2 linked regions of the Notamacropus eugenii genome follow. The protein of the gene in region 2 interacts with the protein of the main gene of each other region in a biochemical or structural test. Links are inferred from orthologs where the notes say so. Each region holds a gene or a part of one and is shown on either strand. Other genes may lie near its edges.

Evidence for each region.
Region 1: the proteins of MAVS (region 2) and RNF5 form a complex in vitro, tested with the Homo sapiens proteins (2 studies listed by BioGRID, with this or other methods). The link is inferred for Notamacropus eugenii from reciprocal best matches to the Homo sapiens genes MAVS and RNF5.

The regions. Positions count from the first base shown.
Region 1 is NC_092873.1:85,920,065-85,928,063, reverse strand, and holds the start of RNF5 (E3 ubiquitin-protein ligase RNF5), read right to left. Parts: upstream 3,001-7,999; 5' UTR 2,944-3,000; intron 2,897-2,943; exon of another isoform or gene 2,697-2,896; 5' UTR 2,650-2,696; coding exon of another isoform or gene 2,597-2,649; 5' UTR 2,544-2,596; coding exon 2,404-2,543; intron 1-2,403. Other genes in the region: AGPAT1 (1-acyl-sn-glycerol-3-phosphate acyltransferase alpha), read left to right, coding at 3,729-3,798. UniProt on the Homo sapiens protein: Membrane-bound E3 ubiquitin-protein ligase that mediates ubiquitination of target proteins. May function together with E2 ubiquitin-conjugating enzymes UBE2D1/UBCH5A and UBE2D2/UBC4.
Region 2 is NC_092872.1:735,786,442-735,794,309, forward strand, and holds the start of MAVS (mitochondrial antiviral-signaling protein), read right to left. Parts: upstream 3,009-7,868; 5' UTR 2,878-3,008; intron 2,382-2,877; 5' UTR 2,333-2,381; intron 942-2,332; 5' UTR 929-941; coding exon 812-928; intron 517-811; coding exon 342-516; intron 1-341.

The DNA of each region.
Region 1 (7,999 bases), on a different chromosome or scaffold from region 2:
AACTGATCTCTCAAAGTGACATTAAAAAATGCAATAGCTCAGTTACACTAAGTAAGCCCAGGGTACCTATCTCCTCCCTTGACTTCAGAGACACCACACACCCCTGATTTTCCTCCTACCTCTAATAATGCCTTCTTTGTCTTCTTTGCTGGCTCCTCTTCCCAACCCTTCAAGGTAAATTCTGTTCTTGGCCCTCTTCTCTCACCTTTGGCAATTTTAATCACTCATGGCTTAAGCTATCACCTCTACAAGACCGATCCCCAAATCCATATCTCCAGCCCTGGTATCTCTTCCTTAACTATATCTACAACTACACAAATAGCTCTGCATCTGCCTATCAGACCAAAATTTCCAATTCAATGATTTTTAGTTAAATCTAAGTTCATTTATGTAGCAGAAACAGATTTAAAGTCAAAGGAATCAGGTTTGAATCTGTGCTGGCCTGTTTTCTGTGAAACTCTGCGCAAGACATTTGACTTAACTGTATCTGTTTCCTTATCAGTAAAACGAGACTTGAACTAAATGATTTCTAAGGTCCTTTCAGCTGTAAATCCCATGATCCTATCTTCCCCCCCAAACCTGTAGATTTCACTAAATCTGTCAATGTCATTCATACAGTCTCCCGTATTCAAAATTAGAATTCCTTTTTATCACCTGTCATATCCAATCAGTAAACAAGTGCTACTGACTTTTACATCTATACCTTTTCTTTCAACAATGCCCTCCTCTTTATTGCCATTACTTCCCTCAATACAGATTGTTCTCCCACTTCCAGCCATCTATCCTCCTACTACTACAGACCAGTCTTCTACTGGTCACTACTCTGCTCAAAAATTTTTAGTGGCTCCCTAAAACCTCTGCCTGGAATTCAAGGATTTCTACAGTTTGGAAACAACCTATCTTTCCAATCTAATCTCACTGCATTACCTTCTGTGTACTCTAGTCTCCAGCAAAACTAGACTGCTAGCTATCACAGCTCTACATATTTGCTCACCCTATCCCATAGGCCTCTAAGTTCAACTACTGGAATGACTACTTATTTTTAAAACCCAACACCCGCCTTCACTTACTGTCACCCTCCAGCAATAACACATTCACATAGCACTTTGTTTTGAACTTCTCATGCACTCTTCATATATAATTTGTATATTATTTCATATAATATCCGCATGCATGTCATATCCCCCTGGAAGCTCCATGAAATCAGGAACCATGTCTTTTCTAAACTTTGTATCTCCCCCAACACCTACCTACTAACATGTTACTCTGAACATTGTGGATATTTAATAATTATTTATTCAGTTGTTATCCCTCCTTATTAATATAGATTAGTTGTGCATCCCAGGTGTGTCATTTTTTTCCCCATTCCCCTCCACTGGAGTACAGGTGTGTATATGTCTGTATTCTCAGCTATCAAAGCAAAGATATGTGATCCCAAGCTGTCAACAGCTCTACTAGTATGTGCGTATGTGTGTGTGTATACACACACATATATACATATATATGTATACATATAAAGTTGTCAGTAAAACATATGTATGTGTGAATGTCCCAGGGCACTGGGAAATGTCTGTGGGTGTGTATGCATTTCCTGATGCTGTCAGCATTATTTAGACAGGGATGCAGCTAGGAGTAGGATATATCTCTTAGAATATGTATTTCATATATATATATGTATATAGAGAGAGCAAGAGAGATACACACATACATACATATATCACACACCAGTATAAAAGTGTGTGTGTGTTTTCATGATATTCTCACCAGTGAAGATATAAGATTTGTAGGTGGGTATCCTGGGGCTGTTGACAGTACAGGTAGGACTCTGGGTGGGAATATCCTGAGGTTCTCATCAGTACTAATACAGTACTAAAACATATGTGTCTGTCTCCTGGAGCTCTCACATCAGTACCAGGAAGAATGTGTGTTGTGGATGTGCTGCAATCCCGTGTCAACATAAGACTAATGACAGTGTGGCCAGTACATATTAGAGGAGTATATATGCCTGTCTCCTAAGGCTCTCTCCATTAGGAATATGTGTGTGTATGTATTTATATATGTAGTGTGTGTGTGTATGTGTGTGGGCATATGTATCCCAGAATGGGTGTATATTGGGAATGGGGTGGGGGTAGTTTCTGGGGTCCAAGAGAGGCTGAGAGCTATGCACGTGTCCCAGAGTTCTCTCCAGTAAAGAGGTGAGTGTGTGGGAGGGTATGGGAGAGAGGAGTGTTCCGGGGCCCTCACTAGTACAGGGGTAGAGAGTGTGTACCTGAGTGTGTGTGTCTGTGTGTGAGGGTGCGTGTCCCGGGGCTCTGGTGGAGGTATGAGTACATGTCCCGGGGTTCTCACCACTACGGTGGGAGTGGGGGTGTGGGGTGTGGGGGTGTGTCCCGGGGCTCTCACCAGTACAGGTGGCCGCACATACTGACCACCGCCTCCCGCGCTGTCTCCAGACAGATGTTACACTCGAAGGCCGCACCTGCCCCTCCCCGGTCGCGGTTTGGCCCTTCGGAGCCCCCGTCCTCCTTCCTGGCCGCTGCCATGGCCCCTCAACTGTTGCCCCCGCAACCCAGGTCTTCCCCCACGAAACACATACACAAGCCCCGATGGTCCGAAAAGCCCGCCCCCCTGCTCGCGCCCATTGGTCATCCGTCAAGGTCTTCGAGACTCCATTGGTGATCCTGCCCACCAGTCACCTAGGGTTCGGAAGGAAAGGATTGGACGACAGTCTGGGGAGGGAGAGGCACGTATTGCCCCGCCCTTGAACAGTGATTATTGGCCAAGGTAGTCGCCAGTCAAGAGGCTGCGTCATAGGATTAGCCGTAAAACGCGCCCTGGCAGACCCCATTGTCCGCGGTGAAGGAGGGTCCACCCTGTCATCACCATTATTTGTCCCCCATTGCTAAGTGTCGTGCTGAACTGGCTCCAGGACGTAGATTCTACCTACTAATAACCTATCCAACTTCCGCCCCCGTCCTTTCTTCACTTCCTCTTCTCTTGAAAAGGATCCTCCTCGAGATCCTATTGGACTAGGAACGCGCAAGTTCCGAAGCAGCCGGTTGGCTAGGAGATGGTCGCAAGCGCGCACGTGAGGGATAGGACGGACCTATCCGGAGGAGGCTTTGCTTCTCGGGACCCGCCCCTTCCTCGCCGTCTTCTTGTCGCTATAGCTCCCGGATCGCAATTGGTCCTGACTTGGCCACCACCCTAGCCTTAAGTTCCTTCCCCCCTCGTCCCTTGCACCCAACCCTCGAATTTGATTGGTTACTCTAGACCTCGAAGATTAGGATTGGGAGCAAAGAGACATATGCTAGTCACCGGGTTCAAAATGGCTTCCGCCGTTTCGGTGACGTAAGAAACCGAATCTGAGTTCGCCCGGCGCCCTTTACAAAGATGTCGGGCCAGGAGAAGGGCGATTGGCCCCATGTCCGTGACGTCACAGATCCATCTCCTGGCTTATAACCCCCTTCCCTCCCCACCCCCATCCCACGAGCGCACACGCACTCGGTCCCCTTTAGTCTTAGCCGACCCACGGAGCGGAACTCGACTCTCCAGGTTCCTTTCTTCGATGACGCACAGAGCAGAAATGAATTTCGCTCCAGTTCAACTTGTGTGCTGCCGTGGAAAAAGAGAGCCGAATTTGGAGTGAGAGAACCTGGGTTCAAACCCTAGCCCAGGCTCTGACTGTTTGGGTGAGCCCAGGAGTCACTGGACTTCCCCCAGATCCAATGTCGTCGTCAGCTGTGGAAAGAGGGGCTGGACGGTCTTGTCTCCATCATGCTTTGGATGATCTCCAAGGTCCTGTCTAGTTGCGATACTCTTACTGTTTCTGCCATGATCTGCAGGGCTAGAATTAGACCCGCCCCTTCCTCCCTGTGACCTACCAAGCAGAACTGGGGTCTTCTTCCTGGGCAGGGTGCCCTTCCCCTACCTGCTCCGGCTCAGCGTGGCCCAGGTGCCTGGTGCAGGCAGCCAGGCTTGGGCAAGTGAGTCTCCCTCCTCCTTGTGGCCCAAGCACAGCAACCTGGTAATAGCCCACCCTTTCTCCCCCTGCTCTCACCCATCCCATCTCCAGTCTCTCTCCTCCAACCCTGGCTTGAAGGCGTAGCCAGTGAGAGACTTAGGTTAATTGTGTGTGTGTGTGTTGGGGGGGGGTGTTGGAGGGATGGAGAGGGAGAGGCAGTAGAGAAGCTTGTGATCTCCACCCAGCTGTTGTCTCCCTAGGCATCAGTTTCCTTGGGTCTTTGTAAAATGAGGGTAGGTGGTCTCCAAGGCTGCCTCCAGCTCCGACATTCTATGTTCTATGGTTCTATGGGAGAGAGGACACAGACCAGACAGGGGCCCTCAGAGGGAAACCAAGACAGCTGGGGGCAAGAATCCAGGAGAACCACAACATCTGGAGGGAACTGGAAAGTAAAAAGAAAGCAGGAAAGGGCTATCCCCAAGTTGATGGAGCTGGTTAGTTGAAGGTAGGGCTCTTATCAGAGAGGGAGAAAACAGGGCCAGGAGACACATCAAGGAAAAGAAGGGAAGGTGGTGGCAGTGTTTTTTGAAAGAGATAGAAAGGAGAGTTGAGTGAAAGGGATGAGGCTGAGGCAGTAGAGGAGTGCCAAGTGGGATGAAATAAGTGTGGGAAGCCAGGGCTAGGGATGTAGTTGAGCTTCCAGAAAACAAGTGTTAGAAACTGGGAATGACAACCTTAAGGAGTTAGTGTCGGCTCCCCATTCCACCCCAAGCTGCATGGTCTGCCCATAGAAGGAAGGAATAATGGTGACCTGATCTCAGTGGTGGAGAAAGCATATACAATTCATCTTTGGGATGACAGGGCAGCCTGGCTAAAGAAGAGAGACCCTGTGGGAAAGGTGCTAGGAAGGGAAGAGAGAAGAGAATTGGGGAATTAAGAAAAGGAGGAGGTCGGCAAGGAAGGTAGAAGGATCAGAGAAGAGGGCAAGATGAAGGAAGGGGAGGACCTGGCTAGTGTTCTGAGAGACCATAGTGAGATAATGGGGAGTAGGGAAGAGGTCAGCCACGAGACAGGGAAAAGATTAGGAGGCACAAAGAGAGATAAGGATGGGAGAGGCCAAGATGAAGTTGAAAGGGCGAGGCAGCTAATAAAAAAGGATGATGAGTAGTGAGAAGCAGAGGAATGGAAGAATTGGGAAAGAGAAAAGGGAGCCTAAAGGACAGAGAGAAGAAAGCTGAGAGAAGTGGAAGGAGGGAGATAGAAGAGCAGGGAAAGCCGGGAAGGACTGGAACCAGAGCCAGAAAAAAAACAGGTTATGAAAGATAGACAGCTGGAAGGAGTAAGGCAGAAGCCTCAGCAGGAGGAGCTAGCAGGAAAAAGATGAGGCAGGGAGGGCTAAAAGCTGGAGGGAGGGAATGCTTGGGTCCCTGTCCAGGCTATTGGCAAGACAGCCCGCCTGTCACCACCCCCCACTTCCTGGCCGGCCCCGGAAACAAGCAGGCGTTGGTGGGGAGGGGGGGGCGGCAGCAGCAGCAGCTTCGGCAGCCCCAGCCCTCCGAGAGAGAGACAGCAGTAAGGGAGGGAGGGAGAGAGCGGGGAACACCCCCCCTCCCACCATTCTCACCACTATGGGTCCGGCCCCCCACTCCCACAGCCCCTCCACCAGCCGGGGCTAGGACACCCCCAAACCCTGAGGGCCCCCTGGCACCGACTCCCCACCAGAGACAGAGACACAGCCGCCACCACCGCTGCCGCAGCCTGGCTGGGGAGGGGGCCGGCCCCCTAGGCCCCCTACCCCACTGAGGTGGGGGAGGGATGGAACTGGGGAAGGGGGGTGAGAGATGGGTCGGGGGAGGAGGGAGCTGGGAGGTCATGGAGGTGGAGAATGGGGTCTGGGGAGAGAGAGTGTAAGGTAGACTTGGGAGAGGAGCCGCTGGGAAAGATGGAGAGAATCCAGACAGAGAGAAAAGGGATGGAGGAGGGAGGGGCTGAGGCCTGGTGAGTGGGGGGCTGGCCTAATTAAGGGGATAGTGATGGGGATAGTGATGGGGTGAGTGAGGATGAGGAGTACTGGTGAGGGGAGAGAGGAATTCGCTACACCCCACCCCCAGTTCCTCTTTCTGCCCCTTGTATCTCTTGGAAGGAGTGTAGATTATAAACTACATTCCTGACTCCTCCTCCAAGAGAATATTGGTTGCTAGGATCATACCAGGACACCCCTCTATTTCCATGCACAGAGCCTAAGGTCTCTACATATCCTGTGTGCATGTTAGGCCCTTCCTGACACACGTGTGTCTTGTGTGTTACCTTGTTTTCTCCATTGAGTGTGCATGCTTTAGACAGTGGGCTGTGTTGGTTGAATATGTTCCCATATGATCCATGGTCATGGCAAATGTCCTCACATTAGCTGGATGTTGTATCCATTCCCCTTTGGGAAGGCTGGCTATAGTGCAATATGGCCTGTCCCTTGTGTCATATCCATTTGGAGTATAATGTACATACCCTACGCATCTGTATGTTCAAATGTTGCCTACTTTCTCAGATCTTTCTGTTGCATATTAGTTGTGTGTTTCTGTTCATGTGCTTTGCCAGTGATCGTCACTGCCAAGGTAGTTGTCTTCACATGTTCTGTTTGTACGCTGTGCCTATGGTGTTTTGTTTTGGTTCATTTGCTGAATCTGTGATTCTTGTCCCTTGGGGTTGCCTTCAGGTAGCTGATTCCATGATTTTATTTATTCTTAACACAGATCTTCATGGTGTATTAATCCACTTTACTGCATGTGTTTTGCTAAGGAAGTCCTAGCATTGCTTGAGCACTTATGTCTTATGTTCTACTGGCATTGCATTTCTGTTCATATAACATCTATTTCACCATTTCCTTCCTGTAATGTTTTATAAATCACATGTTTATGTAACACATCTGGCAATCTCATATGGTTGGATATCCTCTGGATATCCTTAGATATGTGTGTTCCTGAGGAAATCACATATACATAGCCCCTGTAGAGGGTAACGGACCTCCAGACACACAGAAAACCCATAGCATTTGCATATATATTTGCATGTCCTTCCTATGTTTGGCCTGGCCCATATGTCTATGTAACATCCATAGTACCGCTATATTTTGTCACTGTGTACTCATATGACATGTGAATGAGTACATGTGTTACAGGCTCTCATCTATGTCCATGTTTTTATTAATGTTGAACGTTCATCCCACAGCTTCCATCATTTGCATGACTAATGATTTGGCATGTTATTTTCACCCCAGGCATGTTACCACCACTCTGTATGTTTCTTCACTGCATTTTTGTGTTATCTGCATATGATTTACATTCACTGTATTCATTTCTTTATTATGTCATTATCCTTCTGCCTCTTCACGTTATTGAATTTTCCCCTGTACACTTTCCCATTCCCTTTCCAGCGGTCATGACATCCCCATGATTTCTGTGTTCCTGCCAACAGCATAGCATGTTGGGCATGTGCTTGGAGTACATCATATTTCTTGTGAGAAGCAGTATCCCTGGGGCTACACTGTATTAAATACCTATTGTTTTTGTTATCAACAGCGTGAGCATGTCTTCATTCTTGTCTTCTTCACGTGGGTGTGTGTGTGTGTATGTGTATGTGAGAGTTCAGAGGATTGTTACACATGGGGGTTGACTTCTGTTAACACCATCATTTCTTCACTTCCAAGGTCTACTTACTCTCTGACCTGTTTATCACCACCCTGCCCTCTACTTGTTCTCTCCATTTGTGTTTACCTTTTAAGTATCTATTTCATATGGCCTCAATCAGATGTGCTGCTATCATACTTGACTCAATTAAGCAAATACGTATTGTGTGCTTAGTATTATTACCATCCTGTGCATGAGATCTTCATGTTTCAGGGAAGGAAAGAGGGGTAGGTAATGTACTGTAAGCATCTTGTGTATGTTCCTGTTCACAGATGGCTTCTCTGCCAGGCCACTTGAAAATGTGTATGTGTTTGTCACATGTTTTTTCCTTGTGATGTTATCACACTTGGCCAAT
Region 2 (7,868 bases):
GTCTGAGGCCAGATTTGAACTCAGGAAGATGATCCTGCCTGATTCCAGGCCCTGTGTTCTATCCACTGCACCACCCAGCTGCCAGGCCAGGCAGCTTAACAGACACTTGTGGAATGAATAGAAAGACAGACAGAAGGATGTAATAGACAAGATGTTCAATAGAAATGATAGAGAGGATAAACAGATAGAATAAACACATACACACACACACATGTGGAGGTGGAGAGAGAGCAGATGAGAGGGTGAGAAGGGAGGAAAGGTGCTGAGGCATAGACACACCAAGGCTGGGGGAGGTGCTCAGTGACCTCCCAGTGCAAGAAGACAAAAGGAAGGGCACTCACGGGCCTGGTTAGATGCATAGACATTAGCAATGACATCAGCGAGGTCCGTCAGCTCGCATTCCTTCAGGGCTGTGATGAGACAGGTCACCCAGCCATTGCGCTTACGAAGGTGATCAAAGAGCTTCCACACACTGTCACGGTTTCCATGACGGTCAATGTAGGCACGGAGCTGGTCCTGGAAGAGAAAGTTGTGACCATGGCTTCAGAGAGCTCACCTCCCAAGCTAGGACTGTGGCAGCCTCTGAGCCCCCAGAGAGGAGAAAGAAGGGATTGACACACTATGAAGAGCTTCTGTAGCTAGGGTACAAGTCTGGGATAGGCTAGGGCAGGGGCCTTGAGAGCAAGGGTAAGGGAGCAGGGGAGAGGATGCAGGTGTCCCAGAGGGTGTGAGTATCCTCTGCATCTAGCTGATAAGGGGAGAGGAGGAGAGGAAGCTTCAGGGTGAAAACTGCCTCTGCTATATCACCTACTTGGTCAGCAACGGTGAGGCAGGGCAGGTGGGACAGGATCTCCAAGACATCAATGCGGAAGAAGTCACTGAGGTGGAAGCGAATGTACTGCTCAGTTCGGTCCTCAGCCAGAGGCATGGTCACTCAGGGCCTGAAGGGGAAAGGAATGAGTCTGTGGTGTGAAGAATGTGGAGGCAGAAGGACTGGGGCTGACTCCTGGCCCTGCCACTCATTATCTGTGTGACCTTGGGGAAGTTCATTCTCTTTTCCCTCTCAGGGAGATGTGGTAGGGGTGGGAACCTGAATAACATGAGCTAAGTTCCTTTCAGTTTCTAAAGTGAGTGAGGACAGCGTACTGGCCCAGCAATGGCCATCAAGTAGAGCGCCAGCAGAGATGGAGAATTCTTCAGAAGATGGAGGAAAAATCAGTGGGGCCATAGAACCACGGAGGCTTCTTGCATTTGGAAAGATGGAGGGAGAAAGGAAGGCTTGCGACTGTCATCTGACAGACACCGGTGGGGCAGCCAAACCCAGGCTCCCCCTTTTCAATGAGCAAGGGTGATCAGGGAGACTGGTTTTCTCTTCTCCTGAGGACTTTCCATAATCCAATGCAGTCCAAGTTGGTTGGGAAGTCTGGTTTGGAGGCAGAGGGATGGACCAAATGACCTCTGATCCCTTTCAAACCAATTACAGAATGTCGGAGTTGGAAGGAACCTCAGAGGCCATCTAGTCCAACCAACACCTGAATAAGAATCTGGACAAGGTGTCACCCGGCCTTCCCTTGGAGACTCTCTGTAGAGGAGAACCCATGACAGCCTGAGGAGGCAGCTCTGTTAGCATGGTTTTCCTGACATCAGATCTAAAAACGCTTCTTGGTAACGTCTGCCCATCCTTCTGAGTTCTTCCTTCTGGGGTCCATAGACAGTGTCTGCCAAGTCTCCTCTTTACAGCACAGACCCTGTTCCTGTGCCATGATCTTGAGGCTATCACATCTTGGTCACCCTCCCTGTTCCACCCTCCTTCCTAAAGTACAGCCTGCAGCCCACACAATACTGCCCCAGTGCTCTCTTGGAGAACACAGCTTTCCTAGCTGATGTACCCCATATAGTTATCAATGAAACTTTTGCCCAGCCATTCCTCTTCTTGTCTCGGTGCTTTTTGAGCCCAGGTGTAAAACATCATTTATCCTTAGGAGGTCTAACGTTCCAGTCCATGCCCATCCCTTCCAGCATTGTGTCACCTGCAAGTCTGATGCAAAATCTATCCCTTCATCACAGCACAGGATCGAGCGAAGATCCGGTGGCCTGGAGCACTGGTGACCTCCCTCCCCTCTCCCACCGGGCCATTAATGACTATCCTTTGTGCCGGACCACTTCACTAGTTCTGAATTCACTTCACCCGACCATCATTTAATCCATGGCTCCCTTTCCAAGAATGGCATGAGAGAATTGGGCAAATGTTGTGATTCAGCGGCAGTACAATGCACCATTAGAGCTTCACTCCTTTGGGAGTAAAGTCTTATCTCCAGAAGGTCCTAGTTACCTCAGCACAGAAGGGCACTTCTGATGGCTCCAGCAGCGAGCACTGCCACCTAAGGACGGAGAGAAGGGGATATTGGGGAGGGGGCCCGGGGTGTCAGGGTTGGGAGAGCCCTTCTGGGGCCCCTCTGCTCCCGGCCTGACCCTGCCCCGGGGCGGAGGGGGGTGCCCTTCCCCCACGAGGTCTCGGCATCTGTGGGCACCTGGTCAGAGTCACCAGGCTACGGCCCCAAACAAACACTCCTGTCCTCGGCCCCTGCCCAGGTCACGGCTCGGACCGCGGGCAGGTGCCCGGTCTGGGCCACGTGGACCAGCCGCCCCCCTCCCCCCCCCCCCCCCCCCCGCCCTCCCTCCAGCCTCAGTCCCCTCCTCTCCCACCTGCTGCACTCCGAGGCTGCCCCTCCCCTCCCCCGCCCAAGGACCACGGTCAAGGGCAGACGAGCCGCGCACCGGCCCTACCCCCAAGGCCCGCTCCTCCCCCTCCTTTCTCCCCTGCCCTTGACCTCCAGGGCGGCCCGGAGGGGGTCCCCGAGACGCCGCCCCGCCTACCTGCGGGCAGAGCCCCGCTCAGCTCCGCTCCGGTCCGGTCCAGCCGAGGCTGGCGACGGCTCTGGCGCAGCGGCCCAGGCTCTGAGGCTGCCCCGGGAAAAGGCGGAGGCGCCCGCAGCGCCCGAGCGGAGCCGAGCACGGGGGCGGCAGGCGGGGGCAGGACCAGGCCCAGGCTCGCGCCCGCCCTCGCGGCGCCCGCCTATTGGCCGGCGGGGCGAGGGGGCGGGGCCTGGAGCGAGAGGGGGGAGGGGAGGGAGGGGAGGGGAAAGAGGGAGGAAAGGGTGGGAGGAGAGAGGGGAAGGAAGGAAGGAGGCCGGGGAAAGGAGGGAGAGGGTCGGGGGAAGGGGGGGTCGGGGGAAGGAGGGAGGGGGTCGGGGAAGGAGGGAGGGGGTCGGGGGAGAGGACTGCAATGATTTGACCAAATTTGACAGGAAAAGGAGTCAACAGGCCCTGCCAGGCGCCATCCGGCGCGTCTCGGGGCAACAAGTTACCCCAAAAACGGACAGAGGAGGAAGGCCAAGTACTGCGGGGGGAGCGGGGAGCCGTCGCCCAGGGAGGGGGGTCCTTGGCCACAGCACAGGCCATGGGGGGAGGGGAGTCGCTCTTCAGGGGCTGTCCCCGTGCTCCCGTCCTCCGACTGCTCTCTAACTGTCCCGGGGAGGAAGGCAGGCCAGGTCGCCTCTGCTCCTTCGGTGCGGAGGGCGTGTCCAGCCCTGGCTGGTGGGAGGAGGAGGAGAAGAGCCCGGGCCCCGCCAGCCGGGTCTGCACCCCGCTGTCCCCCTCCGAAGGCGGGCCGAGGCACAGGCAGGCGCCTTATTCCGCGTCCGTGGAATGAAGGAGTGAATCCCGCCCCAGCGCACGTTCTAAACCGACGAGCACTGGAGAACGCAGAGCCAGGGTCCGAGGTCGCCCGCGAAGGTGCCCCGGTGCTCCTAGGTGGCGCTAGAGGGCCTTGCGCTGGAGACGCGAGAGCACCTGGATCCTCAGACCCGGGGCAAGGCACCGGCCCTCGGCCTCGGTCCCCCTAAGCACCCCGGCCCCCACTTCCCAGGCTGATGTGAGGATCAAAGGAGACAGTATTCCTGAAAGCGCTTAGCAGTGCCGGGCACACGGAGGAGAAACGGGAAACGCTTGTTTCTTTTCCCTTCTTCCCTTACAAGTGGCCTAGGATCGAGCTCAGTTCTCAAATTTCTCGGTCTCAGGATATATTTACTTTTAAAAATTGCCGAGGACCCAAAAGTTTTGTTAAGGTGGGTTGTATCTATTGATATTGACCATACTGGAAAGCGAATACATTTTTGAAAGTCACTTAAAAGTAACATAGTAACTATTTTCCAAAACAGGACCTGTCTGGTGAGTATTGTTTTACCGATTGTTGTGAGGCTCTTGAACGTCTGGCTGAATAGTTGGGGTCTTGTTTCTGCATCATCTGATCTGCTGTGACATGTTGTAAGAAGAGAATCTAGCCTCACGCAGAGGCGTTGGGCAAGAAGTACAGTAGGCAAAGGAGGTTTAGGATAAAAATCCAAGGGCCACATGGACAACCAAATTCATTTTACAGATGAGGAAACTGAGGCAAACAAGGTGAGGTGACTTGCCCAGAGCCACACAGCTAGGGACTGGGTTTGAACTCAGGGGCATGAGTCTTCCTGACACCAGGTCGCTGACCAGTTACTCAAACCCAGATCCTCCATGTAAGTTATGGCTTTTTCACACTACATTATGCATTAGGAAAAGACTACTTGGAGTGATGAAGAATCCAGCTGGAGAAGGGAGGAAGAAGGCCTGCCTCTGGGCTCCATGCTGTGGAGCGTGGGGGAGGCCAATCTGGGGCCTCCCTCAGGTTATTTTGTACAATCTCTTTACTTTCTAGAAGAAACTGGAAACCAGGGTGGGAAAGTGCTGGGTAACCGCATAGCTTATTCCTTGGCCCACTGTCAGTGTCCTCCCTGGGCTTCCCTAGATGACAAGCCCAGGTACAAGCATGCTGCTCCCCTGCTCCAACACCAAGGGCTCTCCGTAATTGTGTGGCCCAAACACTGGCTCCCCTGTTTGGCACTACAGGCCCTTCACAATCTGGCTCTGGTCATTCACTGACCAAGAATGGACTTAGCAGTTAGTAATAATAGTAGATGACATTTCATCCACCACTAAGTTTGCACTGAGTTCTGTGCCAGTCACTGAGGATTCAGACAGACAGGCCTCAAGGGCAGTCTTCCTGCAATATTCTGGGGAAGGACCCAGGGACTTTCTGTAGAAGGTGTTGCATGAACTGTGCAAGGCTGAGGAGAGGGCAGAGGACATGCTGGGCCTGAAGGATGGAAAGCTAGTCCAAAGACAAGCAGATGTCATGCCATCAACCAAAAGAACCAGCAAGACAGTCTGGTTGAAAAGTAGAATCACGTTCAATAAATCTGGACAGCTAAAACACAAACAAGAAAAGCATTTTTTTATTCTCTATTAAGAGGAGACACTTGACTTTATTCAGCAGGACAACAACAGAGCCGGACCTTCGCCTTAGGAACACTGCTCCCCAAAGAGTATGGAGGCTAGGCTAGAGGGGAGGGAGGCTGGAAGACCAATTAGGAGGCTAGTGCAATAGTTCAGAGAAGAGTAATGAGGAACTAAATTGGGGAGTGGAATAGAAAGAAACATGCAAAAGATTTGGGACCAGATTTGATGTGGAGGTGGAGATGAGGAAACAGGTCACACAGCTAAGCACGTGTTTCAAATTCAGGTCTTTCTGAATCCCCATCCAGTGCTCCATCCACTCCCCACAAGATTTAGCTAAGTTAGGAAGAGGTGGGCCTTGAGATCTAATAAATGACTTTGTTTTGGACATTTTGTGCTGGAGCTATCTCAAGGCCACCTATGCACTTGGAGAAGTTCACAAAAGAGGTGATGTGGGGCTTGTGCAGCTGGGGCTGTACACAGAGGTGAGAGTTCAGTCTGGAGAGCCAAGGACATCAAGTAAAGAGAGGGCCTTGGGGTGGACACTGAGGAGTGACCGGGCTGAAAGCAGCCTTCCTTAGCTGGCACACACAATTCATCTACCCCCTCTGGACCTTTGTACAAACCACCCCTCATGCCTGGAATGCAATCTCTTCCTCCCCTCCACCTCTTGGGATCCCCAGCCCCCTTCAGAGCCCAGAATGGCATTTCAGGAAAAGCCCCAGCCTGGCTACACCTCACTTCCTCCTCTCACCATGAATATGTTCCTCCTTTGCTGAACCTCTGAAGTTCTGGAGCCATGAATTACCATCAAATCAATTCGGCCACCCTTCCAGACACTGCTTTGTTTCTGCATTTATAGCTCAGCTACTCACACAGTAAGTGCTTGCTTTGGGGCAGCTAGGTGGCACAGTGAATACAGTACCAGTCTCACCTCAGACACTTGACACTCACTAGCTGTGTGACCTTGGGTAAGTCACTTAACCCCAACTGCCTCATCCTGGGTCATCTCCAGTCATCCTGATGAATGGATTCACTGGATTCAGGTGGCTCTGGAGAAGAAGTGAGGCTGGTGACCTGCACAGCCCTCCCTCACTCAAAACAAAGTCAAGTGCAAGTCATGTCATTATTTCTCTGATAGCAAGGTCTTCTTCAGCAATGAAGGACAAACACACACAAGTGCTTGCTAAATAAATTCATTCCCACCTGCCAGAGGCTTTTCTGGGCTTCGTGCTAGTAAAGGCTCTCTTGCTTTACAGACTTATCGATGCATAGGTCATTCCTCCTCAGAGGAACCTGACATGGAACCTGACACAACCAAAAAGCACTTGTTAATCAATCTCCTAAAGATCCAAAGATCCAGGTGGCGAGCTGCATCGGAGCACTTTGGGACAAAATGCTGAGCAAACCCTGTGGTTCACTTCAATTACAAGGGCTTCTTGGGCCCCTGGCCCACTCTCCACAATCTCTTCTTGGGCCTGTTGGCAATGTGGAGTGGAGTGGACCCTGCATCCTAGGCCAGGCTGGCCAGTTGAGGCCAAATGCTGGCAGATCCTGACAGGCAGGAAAGCTTCCATCCAGAAGCTCAGCTCTGGACTGTCCCTGCCAGCTGAGGACCTGCTAGAGCTAAATCTGGAGATACTCCTCATCAGACTGGCTACACAGGCACATGCTTTGGCCACTGCCCCCAAACCCTTATACTAAATGTATAGAGAGCTATGACCTGGGAGGGTAGAGGATGCATCCCCACCAATGAAATCACAGGCCTTTATGTTTGAATAGATCCCACTACTAGGAAAGCTCCCAGTGCCCAAGGCTGTCCTTGTGGTCTAAGAACTATGAAGTCTACACCTGTCACAGGCTGGCAAGTGTGAGGCAATCAACCCAGGTCTTTGGCAGCGACCCCTTCCTGTTCGATTGCAGGGAGGGACTTTGTTCTTGCTGTCTCTCCAGGGGCTCTTTACTTCTCCTGTCTTTAGCCCTTCTCCCCCCTGGTCTTAAGGAATGCTCTCTGGGGAAGGCAGCCTGGCATACACTTAAAATCACATTTCTGCCAACTCAGCAGAGTTATGGAAGCTAAAACTGCTCCCTCCTTCCCTTCAGGAGTGCAGTAAGGCTTGTGATCACTACCAGAAAGTCCAGGTCACTGGCTTGGAAGAGGAGGTCATACAAGGGTCAGAAGGACCGTGGCACGGGGGGCTACAGCAGCTCATCTTGCATTCCATCTCTGCCAGTTACCAACTCTGAATTTGGGCAAGTCAATCCACCTGTGGAAGCATCATGTGTGAAACAAAGACATAAACTGTTGAGATTTTTTTCCTCTTTTCTATGTTCTAGATCCCCAGGCCAGTCAGTCTGGGGTAGCGTTCGACTCTTTCTCAGAATGATGTTTTTAAATATATAAAACCCCCAGGGGTCACAAAGGAAATCGATTATACTAAAGCCCAGTTATAAATGTTCACAGAGCCCAGGCTAAGAACACTTGGATTTGATGATAACTCAGGTCCTAGGATCCTACACAGGCAAGAGCTTCCAGGCCC